Anolis sagrei: one gene and its partners. The protein of the gene in region 1 binds, or shares a complex with, the protein of each later gene. Links are inferred from orthologs where the notes say so. Each region holds a gene or a part of one and is shown in the gene's direction. Other genes may lie near its edges.

Evidence for each region. The genes of interacting proteins can lie anywhere in the genome.
Region 2: the proteins of AP3B1 (region 1) and AP3D1 are in contact, whole or in part, in a cryo-EM structure (PDB 9C5C), measured with the Homo sapiens proteins. The link is inferred for Anolis sagrei from reciprocal best matches to the Homo sapiens genes AP3B1 and AP3D1. Residues at the interface, in NP_003655.3 of Homo sapiens: Asn75, Lys466, Lys467, Gln470, Val494, Ala497, Ser498, Trp501, Leu531, Leu534, Gln535, Asn538, Lys542, Asn567, Tyr568, Asp569, Asp572, Arg573, Arg575, Phe576, Ile577, Gln579, Leu580, Lys586, Gly588, Ala589, Leu590, Ser591, Tyr593, Lys596; in NP_003929.4 of Homo sapiens: Lys352, Leu442, Ile446, Ser471, Tyr483, Trp487, Glu491, His517, Ala520, Val521, Gln524, Asn525, Lys528, Val561, Gln562, Ser563, Ala564, Leu566, Glu567, Gln569, Glu570, Arg571, Ser573, Cys574, Gln577, Leu578, His581, Ile582, Leu585, Lys588.
Region 3: the proteins of AP3B1 (region 1) and AP3M1 are in contact, whole or in part, in a cryo-EM structure (PDB 9C5A), measured with the Homo sapiens proteins. The link is inferred for Anolis sagrei from reciprocal best matches to the Homo sapiens genes AP3B1 and AP3M1. Residues at the interface, in NP_003655.3 of Homo sapiens: Leu60, Lys64, Val67, Gly68, Ile70, Ala71, Lys72, Gly73, Ile92, Glu93, Lys96, Leu97, Val100, Arg104, Glu107, Asn128, Gln129, Leu130, Arg137, Arg143, Ser163, Pro164, Tyr165, Lys168, Asn169, His172, Gln175, Lys176, Leu202, Ser206; in NP_001307192.1 of Homo sapiens: Met1, Phe15, Leu16, Glu17, Trp20, Lys21, Ser22, Val23, Gln26, Val42, Glu43, Asn44, Val45, Pro46, Pro47, Val48, Ser50, Tyr55, Ser58, Ile59, Tyr60, Gln71, Thr72, Glu73, Val74, Pro75, Pro76, Leu77, Phe78, Ile80.

The regions. Positions count from the first base shown.
Region 1 is NC_090022.1:265,418,421-265,426,193, reverse strand, and holds the start of AP3B1 (AP-3 complex subunit beta-1), read left to right. Parts: upstream 1-4,769; 5' UTR 4,770-4,985; coding exon 4,986-5,119; intron 5,120-7,773. UniProt on the Homo sapiens protein: Subunit of non-clathrin- and clathrin-associated adaptor protein complex 3 (AP-3) that plays a role in protein sorting in the late-Golgi/trans-Golgi network (TGN) and/or endosomes.
Region 2 is NC_090034.1:51,490,159-51,497,474, reverse strand, and holds the start of AP3D1 (AP-3 complex subunit delta-1), read left to right. Parts: upstream 1-4,299; 5' UTR 4,300-4,534; coding exon 4,535-4,630; intron 4,631-7,316. UniProt on the Homo sapiens protein: Part of the AP-3 complex, an adaptor-related complex which is not clathrin-associated. The complex is associated with the Golgi region as well as more peripheral structures.
Region 3 is NC_090023.1:148,570,351-148,578,033, reverse strand, and holds the start of AP3M1 (AP-3 complex subunit mu-1), read left to right. Parts: upstream 1-4,666; 5' UTR 4,667-4,775; intron 4,776-7,683. UniProt on the Homo sapiens protein: Part of the AP-3 complex, an adaptor-related complex which is not clathrin-associated. The complex is associated with the Golgi region as well as more peripheral structures.

The DNA.
Region 1 (7,773 bases):
ATATCTGGGATATATGAGCTCCTGGTGGCGCAGTGGGTTAAACTGCTGAGCTGCTGGCTCCCTGGCGATTCGAATCCAGGGAGCGGGGTGAGCTTCCACTGTCAGCCCCAGCTTCTGCCAACCTCGAAGTTCAAAAACATGCAAATCTGAGTAGAACAATGGGTACCACTCTGGCAGGAAGGTAATGATGCTCTATGCAGTCATGCCAGCCACATGACCTTGGAGGTGTCTATGGACAACGCCGGCTCTTTGGCTTAGAAATGGAGATGAGCACCAGCCCCCAGAGTTGGGGCTACAAAGTGGAGTAAACGTCATGCGAGTGTGGAGAAGAGCACAGAGCACCTAATACAGTGCAACCTGAGCTCTAGGAGCCCCTGGTAGCGCAGTGGGTTAAACCCCTGTGTTGGCAGGACTGAAGACCAACAGGTCGGAGGTTCGAATTCGGGGAGAGCATGGATGAGCTCCCTCTATCAGCTCCAGATCCTCATGCGGGGACATGAGAGAAGCCTCAGATAATGTGGGATTTTATTCAGCTGTGTGGAAGAGGCCTCCACACAGCCCCCCCTGCATGGATGAAGAAAGACAATGCCCAATAAACGAGTCTTCCCTTCAACCCACAATATCTCTCCCTTATGCAGGGCAATGCATAAGGGAGAGATATTTTGATGATAGCTTAAAGGTAAAGGTTTCCCCCTGACATTAAGTCCAGTCGTGTCTGACTCTGGGGGTTGGTGCTCACCTCCATTTCTAAGCCGAAGAGCCGGCGTTATCCGTAGACACCTCCTAGGTCATGTGGCCAGCATGACTGCATGGAGTGCTGTTACCCGCCGGAGCGGTACCTATAGATCTACTCATATTTGCATGTTTTTGAACTGCTAGGTTGGCAGAAGCTGGGGCTAACAGCGGGAGCTCACCCCACTCCCTGGATTCGAATCAGCGACATTTCGATCAGCAAGTTCAGCAGGTCAGCAGTTTAACCCACTGTGCCACCAGAGGTTATATAATCAAAATACGTAGTATATTTTGTATACATAAAATATATAGTGTATGCATGTGTGTGTATATATATATATATATACACAAACACACACATGTATATACTAGCCATTCCCTGCCGCGCATTGCTGTGGCCCAGTCTGTGTATGTTTTGTGTGTGTGTATATGTGTGTGTATATGTTTGTGTATATGTGTGTTTATGTATATATGTGGTTTTGTGCATGTGTTGTAATGTGTTTTTTGTTTTTTAAGGTCTCTTATGCTGTGTTTTTCAGTGTCTTTATGAGTGATGGTCACTTGTTGGCCTGATAGATGTCGTGTCCAAATTTGGTGTCAATTAATGCAGTGGTTTTTGAGTTGTTAATCCCACAAACGAACATTACATTTTTAAAAATATATAGATATATGTTGTTGTTCGGTCGTTTCTGACTTTGTGACCTCATGGACCAGCCCATGCCAGAGCTCCCTGTCGGCCTTCACCACCCCCAGCTCCTTCAAGGTCAATCCAGACACTTCAAGGATACCATCCATCCATCTTGCACTTGGTCGGCCCCTCTTCCTTTTTCCTTCCTTTCCCCCCAGCATAATTGTCTTCTCTAAGCTTTCCTTTCTTCTCATGATGTTGCCAAAATACTTCATCTTGGCCTCTATTATCCTGCCCTCCAATGAGCAGTCAGGCTTTATTTCTTGAAGTAAGGACTGGTTGGACCTTCTCGCGGTCCAAGGCACTCTCAGAATTTTCCTCCAACATAGTTCAAAAGCATCTATCTTCATTCACTCAGCCTTCCCTATGATCCAGCTCTCACGTCTGTAGGTGACTATGGGGAATACCATTGCTTTGACCATGTGGATCTTTGTTGCCAGTGTGATGTCTCTACTCTTCACAATTTTATCAAGATTTGTCATTGCTCTCCTCCCAAGAAGGAAGTGTCTCCTGATTTCCCGGCTGCAGTCTGCATCTGCAGTAATCTTTGCACCTAGAAATACAAAGTCTGTCACTGCCTCCACGTTTTCTCCCTCTATTTCCCAGTTGTCAATCATTCTTCTTGCCATCATATTGGTTTTTTTTATGTTTAGCTGCAACCCAGCTTTGTACATACACTATATATAGATATATATAGTACTAGCTGTCCCCTGCCATGCGTTGCTGTGGCCGTCTGTTGATCTGGAAAATAAAGTAATGAGAAAGTGTTGGTTTCTAATATATGCAATTTCTTTATGCTTGTGGGTAAACAGTATTTCTTGCTGTTTCTTTGTCAGTGTTGATGTGGAGAGTGTCTGGTTTGCCCACCCTGGAACATGCAAGATATCATTGTCCTTCTTTAAGGGTCCCTTTCAAATCTATGATACTATATCTCTGTGTGTGTGTGAATAACATCTCTCTCTCTCTCTCTCTCTCTCTATCTATCTGAGTCCACAGTGCTCTCTGGATCTATCTATCTATCTATTTATCTGTATGGCTGGATGGCTCTTTGTCAGGAGGACTTTGATTACATTTTCTTGCCCTGGAGAAGAGAGTTGGACTGGATGGCCTTAAGTATTTTCTGTTGGTCATGGGGGTTCTGTGTGGGAAGTTTGCGCCATTTCTGTCATTTGTGGGTTTCAAAATGCTCTTTAATTGTAGTGAACTATAAATCCCAGTAACTACAAATTCCAAATGTCAAGGTCTATTTCCTCCAAACTCCATCTGTGTTCATATTTGGGCATATGGAATATTCATGCCAAGTTTGGTCCAGATTCATCATTGTTTGAGTCCACAATGCTCTCTGGATGTTGGTGAACTACAACTCCCAACCTCAAGGTCAATGCCCACCAAACCCAAGGATACCATCCATCCATCTTGTCCTTGGTCGGCCCCTCTTCCTTTTTCTTTCCATTTTCCCCAGCATTTTCTGTTGGTCAAGGGAGTTCTGTGTGCCAAGTTTGGTTCAGTTCCATCATTGGTGGAGTTCAGAATGCTCTTTGATTGTAGGTGAACTATAAATCCCAGTAATTACAACTCCCTATGCTGGGGAAAGTGGAAGGCAAAAGGGCCGACCAAGGGCAAGATGGATGGATGGCATCCTTGAAGTGACTGGACTGACCTTGAAGGAGCTGGGGGTGATGACGGCCGACAAGGAGCTCTGGCGTGGATTGGTCCATGAGGTCACGAAGAATCGGAGACGACTGAACGAATGAACAACAACAATGACAAAATCAATTTTTGAGTGAAGAACATATATTGGGTTATTAGGTGCATTGTGTCCAAATTTGGTGTCAATTCATCCAGTGGTTTTTGAGTTCTATTAATCCCACAAACGGACATTACATTTTTATTTATATAGATAGAAGATTGTATACATACAAAATCTTCAACAGCCAGACAGTGAGTATTTCCCCTGGCAACATGGTTCTGGATTTTTCACCAAATCCTTATAGCAGTGGTTCTCAACCTGGGCCCCCAGATGTTTTGGCCTTCAACTGCCAGAAATCATAACAGCTGGTAAACTGGCTGGGATTTCTGGGAGTTGTAGGCCAAAAACATCTGGGGACCCCAGGTTGAAAACCACTGCCTTATAGCCTATGACTCTGGAGACCAGGGTTTAAATGTCTATGGAAACTCACCGAGTTACTTTGATCAAGTCACACTTTCTCAGCCTTAGAAATCCAAAACCATGCTTCTGGGGAGACAGTTTAAGTGGCTGAGGAGGAAAAAGGAAGGGCCTGAGGCCAGGCCTGTAGCGAGGGGGTGGTTTTAGGTGTTCAAACCCCCCCTGAAATGTTTCAGATTTTTTTTAAAAAAAACCCTGGTTTACTCATGAATTTTGACTGGTTAACCAAATCCCCATGCTAAGTCTATGAGATGCAAAAAATTAAGAGTCCCTCCAGAACTGTAAGCACTATCTGAAGCAAATATTGACAATTTATTCACACTGTCATTACCTGCAGCAATAGTGGATGTAGTGAAGCAACCAAGTTGGGGGGGGGGGGTGTTGAATGCTCTCATTAAGGAGGCCAGACTTGGTGGAGGTGGTTGACAGGGGCGGAGCTGCGGGCTATTGAAGGTTGCTCTGCCCCCTGCTGTGCTCTTTGCTTCAGCATGAGCTAGGAGGCAGGTTTCAACACCCCCAGGGGCGGCTCACCCATTACGCAAAGTAAGCATTTGCAGTATAGTTGATTTAGCCCAGGGGCGCTCTTGAGGCGCTCTTGGGGGAAAATAGACCTTGACATAAGCGAGTTGTAGTTACTGGGATGTATAGTTCACCTAAATCAAAGAGCATTCTGAACTCCACCATTGATGGAACTGAATCAAATATGGCACACAGAACTCCCACAACGAACAGAAAATATATATCAGTGATTGGTTAGGGGGGGGGGGGGGGCTCCAAAATACTGTTTGCTTACTTTGAAAATTACCTAGGGCCGCTTCTGAACACCCCCCCCCGTGAAATTTTCAAACCCCCCCCCCCCAAATTTCAACCCCTCCCGAATTTTTTTTCTGGCTACGGCCCTGCCTGAGGCTGTTAGGAATGGTGGAAGTTGGAAGTCCAAAACACCTGGAGGGAGGGAGGGCCCAAGTTGGCCCAGGCCTGGCCTGGAGTCGGGGGCTCTGCCTACGTGGCAACAAGAGCGCGAGCGCGATAACGGGACCGCCTTCCTTCCTTCCTGGCGCTCGTGACTGCCTTTGGGCGCTTAAGGAGGAAAGGAGGAGCCCCTCGTGACAGTGGGCGGAGCTTATGGAAATTGAGGGGGAAGGGCCTTGCGTTCCCATGACAACGGCGGCGCTGGAGAAAATCCCATTCAGCCGTTCTTCCCCTCCCACTTCTCCCCCCCTCCCTCCTTCGAGGAGCACGTGACCAACATTGGAGTGCTGCTTGCTTGCCGTCAGCTTCCGGGACGAGCCGGATTGTGTCTGTGTGAGGGAAGCAAGGAAGGAAGGAAGGAAGGAACAGCGGGAAGGCGAGGCCCAGGGAGAAAGCAGCGGCAAGGGAAGCGACTCTCACGGGAACATGTCGGCTAACAGTGTCGGCTACAACGACCAGGCCGGGGATGCGCAGGCGGAGGTGGGCCAAGAGGCGACGCCCACCACCGCTTCCTCCTCTTTGCCGGCGGCCTTCGGGCTCTTCAGCAGCGACGGGAAGAAGTAAGTGGCCAAGCGGGAGGGAAGGGAACACACGGGCCATCCAGTCCAACCCCCCTGCCATGCAGGAAAAGCACAATCAAAGAAGCCCCGACAGATAGCCATCCAGCCTCTGCTTAAAAGCCTCCATGGATCCTTCCACCACACTCCGAGGCAGAGAGTTCCACTGCTGAACAGCTCTCTGTTCCACACAGCCCTATATCCCAGAATATCAAGGCAGAAAATCCCACAATATCGCCTTTGAACTGCGTTATCTGAGTCCACATTGCCATATAGTCCAGCCCTATATCCCAGAATATCAAGGCAGAAAATCCCACAATATCGCCTTTGAACTGCGTTATCCGAGTCCACATTGCCATATAGTCCAGTTCATTGCAGATAATGTGGGATTTTATTCATCCCACATTATCTAAATGGTTCTGGCCCGACCTATCTGTCCGAACACATCTCCTCCTATGAACCAGTTAGGACATTAAGATCGTCTGGGGAGGCCCTGCTCTCGGTCCCACCGGCCTCACAAGCACGCCTGGTGGGGACGAGAGACAGGGCCTTCTCAGTAGTGGCCCCCCGGCTGTGGAACACCCTTCCTACAGACATTAGATCGGCCCCCTCCTTATTGGCATTCCGGAAGAGAGTGAAGACCTGGCTCTTTGAACAGGCTTTTAACTAAGCAGTGCCATTGATTGATTACTGGAATATGGATTAATGGACAACGAGATCGGGTGCTGATTCTATTGACGAGACGTGATGGATTGTTGTTTTGCTGTATTGTTGTATTGATGTTTTGATGTTAGCTAATTGATATTACTGTTTTAAATGATTAATGATTTTGTACTGCGTTGTTGATACTGGTTGTTAACCGCTCTGAGTTGCCTGATGGCTGAGAATAGCGGTATACAAGTGAAATAAATAAATAAAATAAATCTGTGTGGAAGTAGCCTCACTGCCAGGAAGTTGTTCCTGATGTTCAAGTGGAATCCCCTTTCCTGCAATTTGAACCCATCGCTCCCTTCCACACAAATGAATAAAATCCCAAATTATCTGCTCTGCACTGTGGGCCCTTCCACACAGCCCTATATCCCAGAATACCAAGGCAAAAAATCCCACATCTGAGTGTGGAGTTAGACAACCCAATTCAAAGCAGATATTGTGGGATTTAGTTCCTTGATATTCTCCCATATAGGGCTATGTAGAAGGGCCCTGTAATATATGGCATTGTGGACTCAGGTAACTAAGGGCCCTTCCACACAGCCATATAACCCAGAATATCAAGGCAGAAAATCCCACATTATCTGAGTGTGGACTTAGATAACCCAATTCAAAGCAGATATTGTGGGATTTAGTGTCTTGATATTCTCCAATATAGGGCAGTGTAGAAGGGCCCTGTAATATATGGCAGTGTGGACTCGGATAACTAAGGGCCATTCCACACAGCCATATAAACCAGAATATCAAGGCAGAAAATCCCACATCATCTGAGTGTTAAAGCAGATATTGTGGGATTCTCTGCCTTGATATTCTGGGGTAGAGGGCTGTGTGGAAGGGCCCATAGGACCCTTCTGCACATTCCTATATCCAGAAAAATCCCACAATATCTGCTTTGAACTGAGTTATCTTAGTCCGCACTCAGATAATGTGGGATTTTCTGCCTTGATATTCTGAGCTGTGTGGAAGGGCCCTTAGTCTCCAGGGTAGCAGAAAATAAGCTCACCCCCCCCCCCTCAATGGACAGTCTTTCAGATGTTTAAACATGGCTGTCATGTCCCCTCTTGGCCTTCTTTTCCCCAAATTAAACATACCCAGCTCCTTCAGCCGCTCCTCGTAGGGCATGGTTTGTATGGGAACACCTTGCACGAGAAGAATATGGAGCCTCCAGTGTTGCAGCGGGTTAAACTGTGGAGCTGCTGAACTTGCTGAACAAAATATCTGTGGTTCAAATCCGGGGAGTGGGGTGAACTCCTGCTGTGAGCCCCAGATTCTGCCAACCTTGTAGTTCGAAAACATGCAAATGTGAGTAGATCAACAGGCAGCACTTTTTCAGGAAGGTAACGGCACTCCATGCAGTCATGCTGGCCACATGTCCTTGGAGGCGTCTTTGGACAATGCCAGCTCTTCGGCTTAGAAATGGAGATGAACATCACCTCCCAGATTCGGACACAACTAGACTTACCTTTACTTTACGAGAAGAATAAGTCGCTCAGGGTGTATTTGTGCTAAACAGTTATATTGATTTGAAGGCCCTTAATTCCATCGCATCAAATCCTGTGATTTGTAATAATTATCTGGCTCCATTTCAAGGCATCCTATGATTTGTAATAAAGGGTCCATCCGCAATGTAGAAGTAATGCAGTTTGACAGCATATCTAAGTGCCCTTGCACAGTGCTATGCAATCCTGGGAGGCCTCTTCCACACAGCTGAATAAAATCACACACTATCTGCATTGAACTGAACTATATGGCAGTGTGGATTCAGATAACCCAGTTCAAAGTAGATATTTTGGGATTTTCTGCCTTGATATTCTGGGATATAGGGCTGTGTGGAACGGCCCTGTGTTGTGACCCTCCTTGAGCCATGGGGAGAGGCGTGTAAGAAATAAAAATTATTATTATTATTATTATTATTATTAATATTATAGGGGGAGGTTATTTTTTTGATG
Region 2 (7,316 bases), on another chromosome or scaffold:
CACAGGATGTCTACGCCCTACACTGCTGTAGGAATTATACTGTTTAGCTGGTTTTGCATCACCTGACAACTGTCAGAAAGTAGCAGACTGTAATGAAAGGACCAAGGCAGTGACATCTCCGGCCCATCCTCTGTTTGGATATTAGCCAGCACACCAGCCACTTAAATCAAGAAATAGCTTCCTAATATCGAGAGAGATATTCTCGATACTCTCGTGGCTGTTGCATGTTCCAGAGTAGGCAAACCTGACAATCTCCACATCAACACTGACAAAGAAACAACAAGAAATACTGTTTTCCCACAAGCATAAAGAAATTACAAATGCGTGACCATATTTCTGTGTACGAACCCACACAATCTCTTCGATCATCTGGAAAGGCCCTGCTCACACTCCTACCTCCTTCGCAGACGCGATTGGTGGGGACGAGAGAGAGGACCTTCTCGGTGGTGGCCCCCCGACTCTGGAACTCGCTTCCCAAGGACATCAGGCATGCCCCAACTCTGGCAGTCTTTAGGAGGAGCCTGAAAACGTGGCTGTTCCAGTGTGCCTTCCCAGAATAGGGAAAACTCTCAGCATTATGTCCTCAAAATGCACTTTACTACTGCTTTAGGATTGACTGCATTCCCTCATTCTCTCTAAAAATCCTATCCCAATTATATCCTACCTGGTTCACATCAGCACTATTTTTTTAATTTTAATCTATCACATTTGGCCTGGCCATTGGTTTTAAATGTTTATATGTTACTGTTGACTGCTTATTGTTTATTTTGTTTATGTGATTATGATTTATATTGCATTGATTGTTTATTGATGTTTTATTTTATTGGTGTTCTGTTTATTGATGTATTGCGGGCTTGCCCTCATATAAGCCGCACCGAGTCCCTTGGGGAGATGGTAGCGGGGTACAAATAAAGTGTTGTTATTATTATTATTATTATTATTATTATTATAAAACTTTCAGCAATATGCCCTCAGAATGCACTTTACTACTGGTCAGGATTGACTGCGTTCCCTCATCTCTCTTTGAAAACCCTATACCAGTTATATCTGACCTTGTTCATGCCCAGCGTTTATTTTTTAATTTTTAAACCATTACATTTGGTCCGGCCATAGGTTTTTAAAATTTTGTGTGTTACTGTTTATTGGTTATTGTTTATATGTGATTTATATTAATTGTATTGTATTTTCTGCTTTGTTTATTGTTGTTGTTTATTGATGTATGGTTGGGCTTGGCCTCATGTAAGCCGCTCCGAGTCCCTTGGGGAGATGGGAAGTTTTATTATTATTATTATTTTATTATTATTATTAGAAACCAACACTTTCTCATTACTTTATTTTCCAGATCACCAGACTGGGCCACAGCAACGTGTGTCAGGGGACAACTAGTGATTTTTTTTTGGTCGTGTTAGGAGCAAGTCGCTTCTGGTGTGAGAGAATTGGCCGTCTGCAAGGATGTTGCCCAGGGGACGCCTGGATGATTTGATGTTTTTATCATCCTTGTGGGAGGCTTCTCTCATGTCCCCGCATGAAGAGCTGGAGCTGATAGAGGGAGCTCATCCACCTCTCCCCGGATTCGAACCTGCGACATGTTGGTCTTCAGTCCTGCCGGCACAGGGGTTTAACCCACTGTGCCACCGGGGGCTCCAGCTAGTGATAAATAAATAAGTACTGTTTTTGTGCTTGTTGTTGTTGTTCATTCGTTCAGTCGTCTCCGACTCTTCGTGACCTCATGGACCAGCCCACGACAGAGCTCCCTGTCGGCCGTCAACACCCCCAGCTCCTTCAAGGTCGGTCCAGTCACTTCAAGGATGCCATCCATCCATCTTGCCCTAGGTCGGCCCCTCTTCCTTTTGCCTTCCACTTTCCCCAGCATAATTGTCATCTCTAGGCTTTGCTATCTCCTCATGATGTGGCCAAAGTACTTCAACTTTGTCTCTAGTATCTTTCCCTCCAGTGAGCAGTCGGGCTTTATTTCCTGGAGGATGGACTGGTTGGATCTTCTCGCAGTCCAAGGCACTCTCAGCACTTTCCTCCAGCACCACAGTTCAAAAGCATCGATCTTCCTTCGCTCAGCCTTCCCTAAGGTCCAGCTCTCACATCCGTAGGTTACTACAGGGAATACCATGGCTTTGACTAGGCGGATCTTTGTTGCCAGTCTGATGTCTCTACTCTTCACTATTTTATTGAGATTGGACATTGCTCTCCTCCCAAAAAGTAAGCGTCTTCTGATTTCCTGGCCACAATCTGCGTCTGCAGTAATATTAGCGCCTAGAAATACAAAGTCTGTCATGGCCTCCACATTTTCTCCCTCTATTTCCCAGTTGTCAATCATTCTTGTTGCCATAATCTTGGTTTTTTTGACATTTAGCTGCAACCCGGCTTTTGCGCTTTCTTCTTTCACCTTGATTAGAAGGCTCCTCAGCTCCTCCTCGCTTTCGGCCATCAGAGTGGTGTCATCTGCATATCTGAGGTTGTTAATGTTTCTTCCAGCAATTTTCACCCCAGCTTTGCATTCATCAAGCCCCGCACATCGCATGATGTGTTCTGCATACACGTTAAAAAGGTTGGGTGAGAGGATGCAGCCTTGCCGTACGCCTTTCCCAATCTTGAACCAGTCTGTTGTTCCGTGGTCAGTTCTGACTGTTGCTACTTGGTCCTTGTACAGCAGTGTTTCTCAACCTGGGAGTCGGGACCCCTGAGGGGGTCGCGAAGGGTTGTCAGAGGGGTCGCCAAAGACTATAAGAAAAACAGTATTTTCTGATGGTCATGGGGATTCCATGTGGGAAGTTTGAGCCAATTCTATCATTGGTGGAGTTCAGAATGTTCTTTGATTGTAATGAACTATAAATCCCAGCAACTACAACTCCCAGATTACAAAATCAATCCTCCCCCAACCCCACTAGCATTCACATTTGGGTGTATTGGGTATTTGTGCCCAGTTTGGCCCAGTAAATGAAAATGCATCCTGCATATCAGATATTTACATTATGATTTATAACAGTAGTAAAATGACTGTTATGAAGTAGCAATGAAAACAATATTATATTAAACATACATCAAGGGAACCACTGATCGCATAGGGAAGCTGATGAGGAAACACAACATACAAACAATCTACAAACCCACCAAGAAAATCCAACAAATGCTACGTTCAGCAAAGGACAAGAGGGATCCTCTTACCTCTGCAGGAGTCTACCGTATACCATGCAGCTGTGGACAAGTCTACATAGGGATCACCAAACGCAGCATTGCCCAGACACGCATCAAGGAACATGAAAGGCACTGCAGACTACTTCAACCAGAGAAGTCAGCCATAGCAGAGCACCTGATGAACCAGCCTGGACACAGCATATTATTTGAGAACACAGAAATGTTGGACCACTCTCACAACCACCATGTCAGGCTACACAGAGAAGCCATTGAAATCCACAAGCACGTGGACAATTTCAACAGAAAGGAAGAGACCATGAAAATGAACAAAATCTGGCTACCAGTATTAAAAAACTCTAAAATTATAACAGCTAAACAACAGAGAGGAAAAAACCAGGCACAGATTAACACCTCCCAGCAACAGATTTTCCCAGGCTCAAGCAGGCCTTCAAATGCTAATGAAGGTGATCAGCTAAACATTCACACCTAACTGCAGCAGGGAAGAGCTCCTTGCCCCACCCCAGCCATTCCACAGATATATAAACCCATTTTCCTACTTCCAACAGACCTCACAACCTCTAAGGATGCTTGCCATAGATGCAGGCGAAACGTCAGGAGAAATGCCTCTAGAACATGGCTCTATAGCCCGAAAAAACCCACAAGAACCTAGTAAAACAATATTATGGTTGGGGGTCACCACAACATGAAGGACTGTATTAAGGGGTCATGGCATTAGGAAGGTTGAGAACCACTGTTGTACAGATTCCTCAGGAGAGAGACAAGGTGGCTTGGTATGTTTTCGTGCTGATGGGCAACAAAAGGGGGCTTGGCTTTCAACAGGGCGCCGCCTCCATGCTGTCATTGGTGGGCATATAAGGGGGCGTGGCGTACTGACGGTGAATATTGAAAAGCCAGGAACCACCTTCGTGATGACGTCAGCCGGCATCAAAAGGGGGCGTGGCTCTCAGCTTCCATTCGGGCGCGGCCTGTGTGCTGACGTTGGTGAGGCTAAAAGAGGGCGGGGCTTCCAGCAGTCGCCGCCTGCGTGCTAATCCTAGTTAGTATGAAGTGGGCGGGGCTTCCAGCCGGCGCTCTTGCGTGCTGACGCCGTCGCGCAAAAAGGGGGCGCGGCTTGAGTTTCCTCTTCTCAGCTGACTCTTCGCCATTTTGCCATTTTAATTGCCTCAGAGAAGCGGCGCCGGAGGGGCAGGAAAGAAGGGACTGGAGGCGGCCGCCGCCCCGGGATGGGAGCGCGCCTTTAAGGCCGAGGACTGCCTTCTCGCCGCCGGTGTTGCTGGAAGCAGCCTTTCCCCACCCGCCTCGAGTCCAGCGGCGGCTTTCCTCTCCTCCTTCTTCTCCTTCTCCTCCTCCTCCTTCCGCCGCCATGGCTCTGAAGATGGTCAAAGGCAGCATCGACCGCATGTTTGACAAGAACCTGCAGGACCTCGTGAGGGGCATCCGCAACCACAAGGAGGACGAGGTGAGCTCCCGCCGCCTCATCTTGGAGTGTCATCTTTCCCCTTCTCAATGCGTTTAGATTCTTTGGAGCCATTCCTTTTGATTTTGTATCTATCTTTTACCATTAGTCTAGTTGTTCACTGTGTATTAATGGTTTATTATATTATTTAGAATAAATCTAATCTAATTCTTTACCATTTATATTTGTTGTATCCATTGCTTCCTAATTTCATCTATTGTTATATTATTTATTTTTGCTACATTGTTTATTTCAAATTATTTGTTATTTATATGCATTTATGTGCAGTGTTTTGTATTTTTATCTATTACTAGCCATCCCCTGCCACGCGTTGCTGTGGCCCACATATGGGTCCTGTGTGGGAGATATGGCCAAATTCTATTGTTGGTGGGGTTCGGAATGCTCCTTGATTGTAGGTGAACTATAAATCCCAGCAACTACAACTCCCAAATGTCAAGATTCTATTTTCCTCAAACTCCATCAGTGTTCACATTTGGACATATTGAGTATTCATGCCAAGTTTGGTCCAGATCCATCATTGTTCGAGTCCACAGTGATCTCTGGATGTAGGTGAACTACAAATCCAAAACTCAAGGTCAATGCCCACCAAACGCTTCCAGTATTTTCTGTTGGTCATGGGAGAACTGTGTGCCAAGTTTGGTTCAATTCCATCATTGGTAGGGTTCAGAATGCTCTTTGATTGTAGGTGAACTATAAATCCCAGGAACTACAACTCCCAAATGACAAAATCAATTTTTTTAGTGAAGGACATACATTGGGTTGTTAGGTGTCTTGTGTCCAAATTTGGTGTCAATTTGTCCAGTGGTTTTTGAGTTCTGTTAATCCCACAAACAAACATAACATTTTTATTTATATAGATACCGTAATTATTCGTATTATATTTGTTCACTATTACCGTTTATATTATTTATAAAACTTCTTAACTATTATTTATTTATATTATTGATATCAGTTGCTTTTTTATCTACGCATTTTTATTACTGTTTAATATATTGTTTGGAATACTCATCATTTATTCTTTATAATTTATTTATATTGCATTATATTCTCTATTTATTAATAATTAATGATTAAGGATTCTTATATTATTTATAATGTTCGTTATCTATTCATTGTAATTTATTAATATTATTTATATGTATTGCGTACTAATTTATCTATAATTATATTTGTTCACTATTAATGTTTATTATTTGGAATATTGGTTATCTTGTATTGTGTGTTTATTATGCATTGTTTTAGGCACACTCTGCCATCTGTAAGCCGCCCCGAGTCCCTTTGGAGAGATGGAGGCGGGGAACAAAAAAAAAGTTATTATTTATTTATTTATTTGCAATTTATTAATATAATATTTGTATCGACAGTATTGATTTTTTATCTTATTTCTTTATTTCGTAACTGTTTCTTAATATTTATTATATTTTGTTTTTATCTATATGTTTACAATTTATTGTTTATATTATTTATAATATCTATTATTTGAAATTTATTTATATTCCTTGTATCCATTGCTTTTTATTTTATTTATTCACTATTTATATTTATCTTTATTATCTTTTAAGCTATTTATTAATGTCCATTATATTTATATTTGTTATTTAGTATTAACACTTTGTTTATATTATTTATATCCATTGCTTTTTATTTGTGTCGATCAATTTAATATTATATTTGTTCATTGCTAATATTTGTTATATTAGTTATTGATTTATTTATGATTTCTTATTAGTATTTGCTTCTCTTTTTATTTTTATTTTTTTAGTCACTGTATATACTCCAGTATAAGCCTATTTTTTCAGCCCCTTTTTTAGGCTGAAATAGTTCCCCTCGGCTTATACTCGAGTCAAGGTTATTTATTATTTTACTCTGTTATTAGTATTATTTTTATTACATTTATTATTTTACTCTATTATTATTATTACACTTACATTATTTTCCTCTATTATTATTTTATTACATTTATTATTTTATTCTATTTATTATTATTATTGCTTTTATTATTTTACTCTATTATTGTTATTATTGCTTTTATTACTTTATTATTACCAATATTATTACATTTCTATTATTTACTCTATTATTATTTTTATTTCATGTTATTGCATTTATTATTCTACTCTATCATTATTAGTAATAGGTAAGCACATTTGCATTGAAGGAGGTTAGAATAATGGTTTAATCAGATTTGGGCAGTCTTATCTTAAATTACAGTTGTATGTAAATACTCAAAAACATTTAACCTACTGATGATTACCAGTACAAGCTAAATTTCTCACTCTCAGCTTATACTCAAGTCAATACGTTTTTGCAGTTTTTTGTGGTAAAATTAGGTGCCTCGACTTATATTCGGGTCAGCTTATATTCAAGTATATATGGTATATATATATATATATATATATACACACACACATATATATACATACACACATACACATAAACACACATATCCTCCCATCTATATTACTATGGGTCTCTTATAGCTATTATTTACTTTTTATGTATTTGTGGCCTATATTTATATGTATTGCTTTGTCCGTTTTTACTAAACTGACTATGTACTTATTAATCTGCTCTATTTGTTGTTTATTTACATTTGTTGCTTTTTACCTGTTTATATTTTCAGCTCTTCTATTTATTATGCATATAATGTGTATGGGTCAGCTTTATT
Region 3 (7,683 bases), on another chromosome or scaffold:
GAGTAGGAGGTCCACTGCCGTCATGGGCAGTTGCTTTTAAATGTATTTGTAGTGAGTGTGTTAGGTAAGTTAGGTGATTGTCAAGTTGTAAAATTGTGTATTATTATGTATGACACGTATGATTGTGATTATGTCATTGTCATTGGCATAAATGGAAATTGAAAGACAAACTTAATTGAAGTTAAGAAAGTGCTATCAAATACACTTTCCATGCTTTTAGGTGGAGCTCAACATGAACAGGCTCTCTTATGCATGTTTTTCCTTCTTTCAATGAAATGCATGGAGTTTGCTTAAAAATCAGTACTGTCAGCTGCCTATACACACACACACACACTTTCATTTTATTTTGGGAGTGCATTAATGCAGCACTTAGTACAAAAAGAGGAATTGGATTATACCTCATCCTGCACTAAATCTCATCTGAACAAACCTCTGATGCTGTCCATTTGGATTCCTCTAATTGCAAAATCTTCTGAATTAATAATCTATTAATAATCTATGCACAAAGTTCACCGTTCTGCCAGGCGTTCATTCTTTCATCTCTCTAACAAAAGACACAAAGTGCCTCACCACACTACAGCATGGATCCGGTTTCTGCCTCCTGCAGAATTCTGGGGTTTGTAGTTTAGTGAAGCCCAGGACCTGTCTGGCTGAGCATTTCAAAAGCCCTTCCCCTAAACCACAAGCCCCAGAATTCTGTAGGAGGCAACAACTAGATTTAAAGTGGATCCATGCTCCATGATGAGATCCTTTGAGGATAGCTAATATGATCTGCTCTTCACAAGCTTTTCATTTCCTAGTCTCATTCTATATCTTCATTATTTTTAAATAGGCTTTTTGGTGTCAATAAAGAAGATTTTAAAGTCGCCTTCGGGCTGAGAGTGGCGGTTAACAAATGCAAATAATAAATAAATAAATAAATAAATAAATTTAAAGATTTGTTTTGATTTTTTTTTAAAAATGCCTTTTTACAAACTTTTTTGCATACAAGTATTTATTTATTTATTTATTTACTTTGCTTATATACCGCAATTCTCAGCCCATGGGCTGAGCAACCATGGGCTGTATCACATAATGACCAGACAGACTACTGCAGCCTTCCAGATGCTATTGGACCAGTTTCTATCAGTTTCTCTCAGCAATACCCCGCACTGACACTGCATGTCATACCACAAGGGGGGGAACCACCGAGAAGGCCCTTTTCCTCGTCCCCACCAGACGTGTTTGAGAGGCTGATGCGACCGAGGGCAGGGCCTCCCCGGTGGATCTTAAACTACGAGGCGGAACGTTGAGGGAGATACGTTCGGACAAGTAAGCTGGGCTGGAGCCATATTATTAGTAGTAGTAATATTACATATAATATAAATATATCTATATATATATAAATGCTCTGTACGTAATGAGTACCTTAAAAACAAAACAAAAAACCTACTGGGCCAAATGACCCCAAATTTGGCAACAAAACTCCTCACAATCCAAGGAGTGACCATCACTGAAAAAAAAACCCACAAAAATACCTTTAAATTAAAAATATTACTATATTAAATAGACTCATAGAATAGAGTTAGAAGGGACTCTACCATAGGATTGCAGAAGAACAGACAGGAAGGAAGGAGAGAAGAAAGGAGGGAGGGGAAAAGGGAATGAATGAAGGAGGGAAAGGGGGAAGGAAGGAAAGAGAGAAGGAGGGAGGGAAAGAAGGAAGGAGAGAAGGGAAGAGGGGAGGAAGGGAAAAAAGAGGTACCGAAGGAAGGAACAATACAAAGTAGAAAGGAAAGAAAAAGGGGAGGAAAGGCAGGAAAGAGGTAAAGAAGGAAGGAGAAAAGGAAATAAAAAGTGAAAGAAGGAAGGAAACAGGGAAGAAAGGAGACAAAGGAAGAAGTAGAGAAAGGGGGAAGGAAGGAAGGAAAGAGAGAAGGAAGGATGAAACCAAAGTGGAAGAAGGAATGAAAAAAGAGGTAGAGGAGGAAGAAAGGAAAGGGGAAGAAAAAAGGGGGAAGGAATAGGTAGGTACCGCTCTTTCATAACAGTCCAGATATCTACCTCTACTTCGAAAATTCTTACTATAGGCCACAGCAATGCGTGGCAGGGCACACCTAGTATAATTATAATATTAGTAGTAGTAGTAGACGTAAATATATGTCCTAAACGGTTTGAGACCCGCCTACCTGCGTGACCGCATCTCCGTATATGAACCCACACGATCCCTCCGTTCATCTGGAGAGGCCCTGCTCATGATCCCACCTGCGTCACAAGTGCGTTTGGTGGGGACGAGGGACAGGGCCTTCTCTGTGGTAGCCCCCCGACTATTGAACTCTCTCCCCAAGGACATCAGACAAGCCCCAACGTTGGCAGTCTTTAGGAGGAGCTTGAAGACCTGGCTGTTCCAGTGTGCCTTTCCAGAATAGGAAACTCCCAGCATCATGTCCCAAACGCACTTTACCAGAAATTTAAGATTGCCTGCACATTGCACCTACCCTAAAATCCTTACATTTCACCAGTCATGTCCAGCACTTTTAATGTATTCATTACATTTGGCCCGGCCCTAGTTTTAAATGTGTCATGATGTATTGTTCTGATGTTTTACTGTTACTGCTTTAACGTTTATTGGTTTGCTTTACGAGTTTTATTGTTGTATTTGTGATGCTGTTGTTTTATTGAGGGCCTTGGCCTTTGTAAGCCGCACCGAGCCCTTTGGGAGATGTTAGTGGGGTACAAATAAAGATGATAATAATAATAATAATACCATAGTACAGGCAACAAGGTGGAACTGTCCTCTGCCCCCCTCAATGTGGACTCAGATAACCCAGTTCAAAGCAGATATTGTGGGATTTTCTGTGGTTATAGGACTGTGTGGAAGGGTCCTAAGTAATCAGTCCACACTGCTATATATTCCAGTTCAAAGCAGAAAATGTGGGATTGTATTATTTATTTATTTATTTATGGCATTTATATGCTGCCCTTCTCACCCCAAAGGGGACTCAGAGCGGCTTACAAGGTATTTTATTATTATTATTATTATTATTATTATTAATTAAACTTTATTTGTACCCCGCTAGCATCTCCCGAAGGACTCGATGCGGCTTACAAACGCCAAGGCCTCAACACAACAGCAGTAAACAACAACAATACAAAAGAAAGCAAATTAAAAAACATATGCAATAACAAAACATTACACTATTACACAATAAAAACCATGGCCGGGCCAATGATGGGTACAGGTTAAAAAGTGCTGGGTGTGACAGGAGGTGTATTGGAATTCTGGGCAAGTGCAATGTGCAGAGAGTCTTAAACTCTAGTAAAGTGCTTCTGGGACAAAGTGCTGGGTTATCCTATTCTGGAAAGGCACGTCGGAATAGCCAGGTCTGGAAGTTCTTCCTAAAGACTGCCAACGTGGGTGCTAGTCTAATGTCTTTGGGGAGGTCGTTCCAAAGTCGGGGGGCAAACACAGAAAAGGCCCTATCCCTCGTCCCCACCAAGCGCGCTTGCGACGCAGGTGGGATCGCAAGCAGGGCCTCTCCAGATGACCGAAGGGAGCGTGTGGGTACATAAGCGGAGATGCGGTCACGGAGGTAGGCAGGTCCCAAACCGTTTAGGGCTTTGTAGGTAAGCACCTGCACCTTGAATTGGGTTCGGTAGGTAAACGGCAGCCAATGGAGCTCCTTATACATACAATATATTATATTATTAGCATAGTACAATATCAGTTTTAAATATTGCTATATTGTACTATACCAATTAAGCTGTGTGGAAGGGGCCAAAGTGTCCTCAAACTGCACTCAAAGTATGGTTTAGATCTGTGGTTCCCAACTTTCGTCCTCCAGGCGTTTTGGATTTCAGTTCTCCTAATTCCAAACTCGCTGGGAGTTGAAGTCCAAACCAAAGGGAGGGCCAAAGGATAGGGACCACTGTTGTAGATGCCCCAATGGCGAAATGTCGGCCCCCCTGCTGAGAAAGGAAGAAAGGCATGCAGGCAGGCTCCCAGGCCGCAGGAACAATGCATCCCCGCCTTCCCAAGTGGTTACTGGGCAACCGGGCCCTTCACAATAGCGGCCGCTCCAACTCTGCAGGAGCGCGAGGCAGAACAGGTGGTATCCCGCAGCGCCGAGCTCCAGGCGTTCGGACTTCAATTCCCAGAAGCCTCCGCTGCTTGGGCCAATGGCCGGGGATTCTGGGAAACGGAGTCCAAAGCCCTGACAGACCAGAGTTTGGGGACCGTTACTGGAAGGGCTTCTCTTGGAGGTGCCAAACCTCCCACTGAACGGCGGAGGAAGGGGCCGGGGGCCGGGAGAAGCCTTCTCCCTCCCTTACCTCAGCCGGGCCGGCTCCAGCTTGGGCTTCTTGGCGCGGGGCTCCTCCGCTGCCATCTTCACGCCCGTCCTGCGCGAGACTGGTGCTTTGGCGGAGGGGAGGGGGGAAAGGAGGAGGAGGGCCGCCCCGTCCTGTCCCTTTCGGGGAAGCCGGCTGAGGGGAAGAGGGGCTGTGCAAGGAGAGTGCCTGCTCCGGAAAGGCCCCCCACGCAGGCCCTTCAAAGCGGGTTCGTGGAAGCCTGTGTTTCCTTTGCCACGCTGAGCAAATTATAAAGCATTCCTCTAATCAACCGAAAGAGGCGCCTCGGGGTCGTGAGGGCGGGCGCCTGACTTTCGGCGCAGGCAATTAGCGAGGACGCCCTGCTGGGGCGGGGCGGGGGCCTCGCAGCCATCTTTGGCCAGCGCCACTGCTCTTGCTGCTCTCGCTGCTGTGCTGGCACCGACGCCGCCTCCACCAGCCGAGGGGTGAGTCCTCCAGAGGGGCCGGGGAGGGCGGCCCGGGTAGAGAAGAGGCCCCGCTGCCTCTGGCCATGGCTTCGTGCCGCCCTCCAGGTCCAGGAAAGAAAGACACGCGTCTCTTTGCCAGCCTTCAAGGGGCCTGTGGGTGGGTTCAAGGCTGCCACACAGGGGTGGTGGAATAATACAGTTGGAAGGGACCCCAAGGGCCATCCAGTCCAACCCCCTGCCAGGCAGGGAAAGCACCATCAAAGCAACCCCGACAGGTGGCCAAAAAGAGTGCCACTTTCAGGGCATTCATAGAACCATAGAGTTGGAAGAGATCCCAGAGGCCATCCAGTCCAATCCCTTGCCAGGCAGGGAAAGCACCATCAAAGCAACCCCGACAGATGGCCAAAAAGAGTGCCACTTTCAGGGCATTCATAGAATCATATTGGAAGAGACCCCAAGGGCCATCCAGTCCAACCCCCTGCCAGGCAAGGAAAGCACCATCAAAGCACCCCTGACAGATGGCCAAAAAAAGTGCCACTTTCAGGGCATTCATAGAATCATAAAGTTAGAAGAGACCCCAAGGGCCATCCAGTCCAACAGCCTTTCAGGCAGGAAAAGCACCATCAAAGCAACCCCGACAGCTGGCCAGAAAAGTGCCACTTTCAGAGCATTCATAGAATCATAGAGTTGGAAGAGATCCTAAGAGCCATCCAGTCCAACCCCCTGCCAGGCAAGGAAAGCACCATCAAAGCACCCCTGACAGATGGCCAAAAGGAGTGCCACTGTCAGGGCATTCATAGAATCATAGAGTTGGAAGAGATCCCAAGGGCCATCCAGTCAAACCCCCTGCCTGGCAGGAAAAGCACCATAACAACAACAACAACAACAACTTTATTTATACCTCGCTCCATCTCCCCCATGGGGACTCGGTGTGGCTTACATGAGGCCACGCCCATCAGTACAGTACACACAATATAACACAAAAACATAACAAAACCAGAAAATAAAATACATAAAATGCAAAACCAATATAATAAGCGACACAACAATATAAAATGAAGCATTAAAAACAACATCAAAGCACCCCCGACAGATGGCCATCCTCTATTTAAAACCTTCAAGGAAGGAGCTTTCACCACACTTCGAGGTAGAGAGTTCCACTGTTGAACAAATCTTACAATCAGGAAGTTCTTCCTAACATTCAAGTGGTATCTCCTTTCATGATTTGGTTTGTTTTTTGGGTCAGGGTGACTTGAGAAATGGCAAGTTGCTTCTGGTGTGAGAGAACTGGCCATCTGCAAGGACGTTACCCAGAGGATGCCCAGATGTTTTACCATCATGTGAGAGGCTTCTCTCGTGTCGCCGCATGAGAAGCTGGAACCGATCGACGAGAGCTCACCCTGCTCCCCGGATTTGAACTGCCGACCTTTAGGCCAGCAGTCAGTTTGATTCCTCTTTGTCTGACCCCATCAGGCCCTGCTTTGCTCACAGAGGAGGGCTGGTGCCTTCTGGGTAATAAGACAGGTTTAGTGCTCATCAAGAAAAAGGAGGGGACACTGCTTGGGCAATGCAAGTCTCTTGGGAGCGAAGCAGGGCCTGATGGGGTCAGAGCAAGAGGAACGAAACCTCTAAAGCTTCTACAGGAGCCGATCACCTTGTAAAAGAGGTGGTTGACTTCTGGTCAGAAAAGAATTCATTGATAATTTTATTAAATTACAATTAGTTTGCATGTCATGATAAAAAAATAAGTATATTGCCTTGCCTTATGACTTACAAAGGAAACTATTTAATTTTGCCTTAGTAATGGAACAATAATACTAATGAACAATGCAAGGAAGGAAGAGGAAGGAAACGAGTTAGTGGCCATTTTGTACCTCAAAGAAGTTGGTTTGTCTGTGAAGAATCCATGTAGTTGAAACCTCAGAACCAAAATTTGCTTCCTTATGTGCTGGAAATCTTATTGTAAAACTATTAGAGTTGGACCAGTACTGATTTACCATTGAGTAGTTGATTCACTGGGCTTCATCATTAATAGGCTCTCGCTGTATCATTGTCTTCCAAGGGCAGAGTCTTTCAGTCCGCAAATTACTGTAGAGACCTATGTTGGGTCCACATGGTATTTCATAATAGGAACAAATGTCCAGATGGAAGGCAGTCCCAGCAAGAGTTTTATTGGCACACCTTCCTCTTGGCACATTTCTCCCTTTTGCCCCCACCCCCCATTCATTTTTCCACAAAATCCATAGCACTGTTGGTAACAGCTGACCTCCAGTTAGCATTTTGCTTGAAGACCAGGCTTCCCAGCTGTCGGTTTACTATTGAGCAGTTGATTCACTGGACTTAGACTGGTTGCATCTAGCAATTTGATTGAGACATGTATTTCTGTAATGTGTCATCTAGATCAGTAGATCTAGATGATCTACTGATCTTTGGCCTACAACTCCCAGAAATCCCAGCCAGTTTACTAGCTGTTAGGATTTCTGGGAGTTGAAGGCCAAAACATCTGGGGACCCACAGGCTGAGAACCATTAGTTTAGATAAATTAAACTGAAGGTTGTGTCTGTGTCAGTCTTGTGCCAGATTTAAAAGAGAAAAGGTGGTGTTCATGTGGCCTGCTGTTTTCTCTAAAGCTTTGTAGTCATGATCTTGCTTTAGTCTTGTATACTTTTTGGAAAATCTGTATTGTAATACTTAGAAACAACATATTTTGCTAGTTCTAGAAAACACTTCCTTAAACTATCTATACAGGTAGAAATGGTGATTGAAAGATTGCTATTCAATATTTTTATATAATTCTCTTTAAAAAGAAAAAAGAATCATTGGGAAACAAATGAAGCACATCAAAAGAATTCCTCTGGCATCTGTTTTGATTATTTACTTTTGGTTAAAAGCAGGTGTCAGTGAGACCTAGAAGGCAAGTCAGATC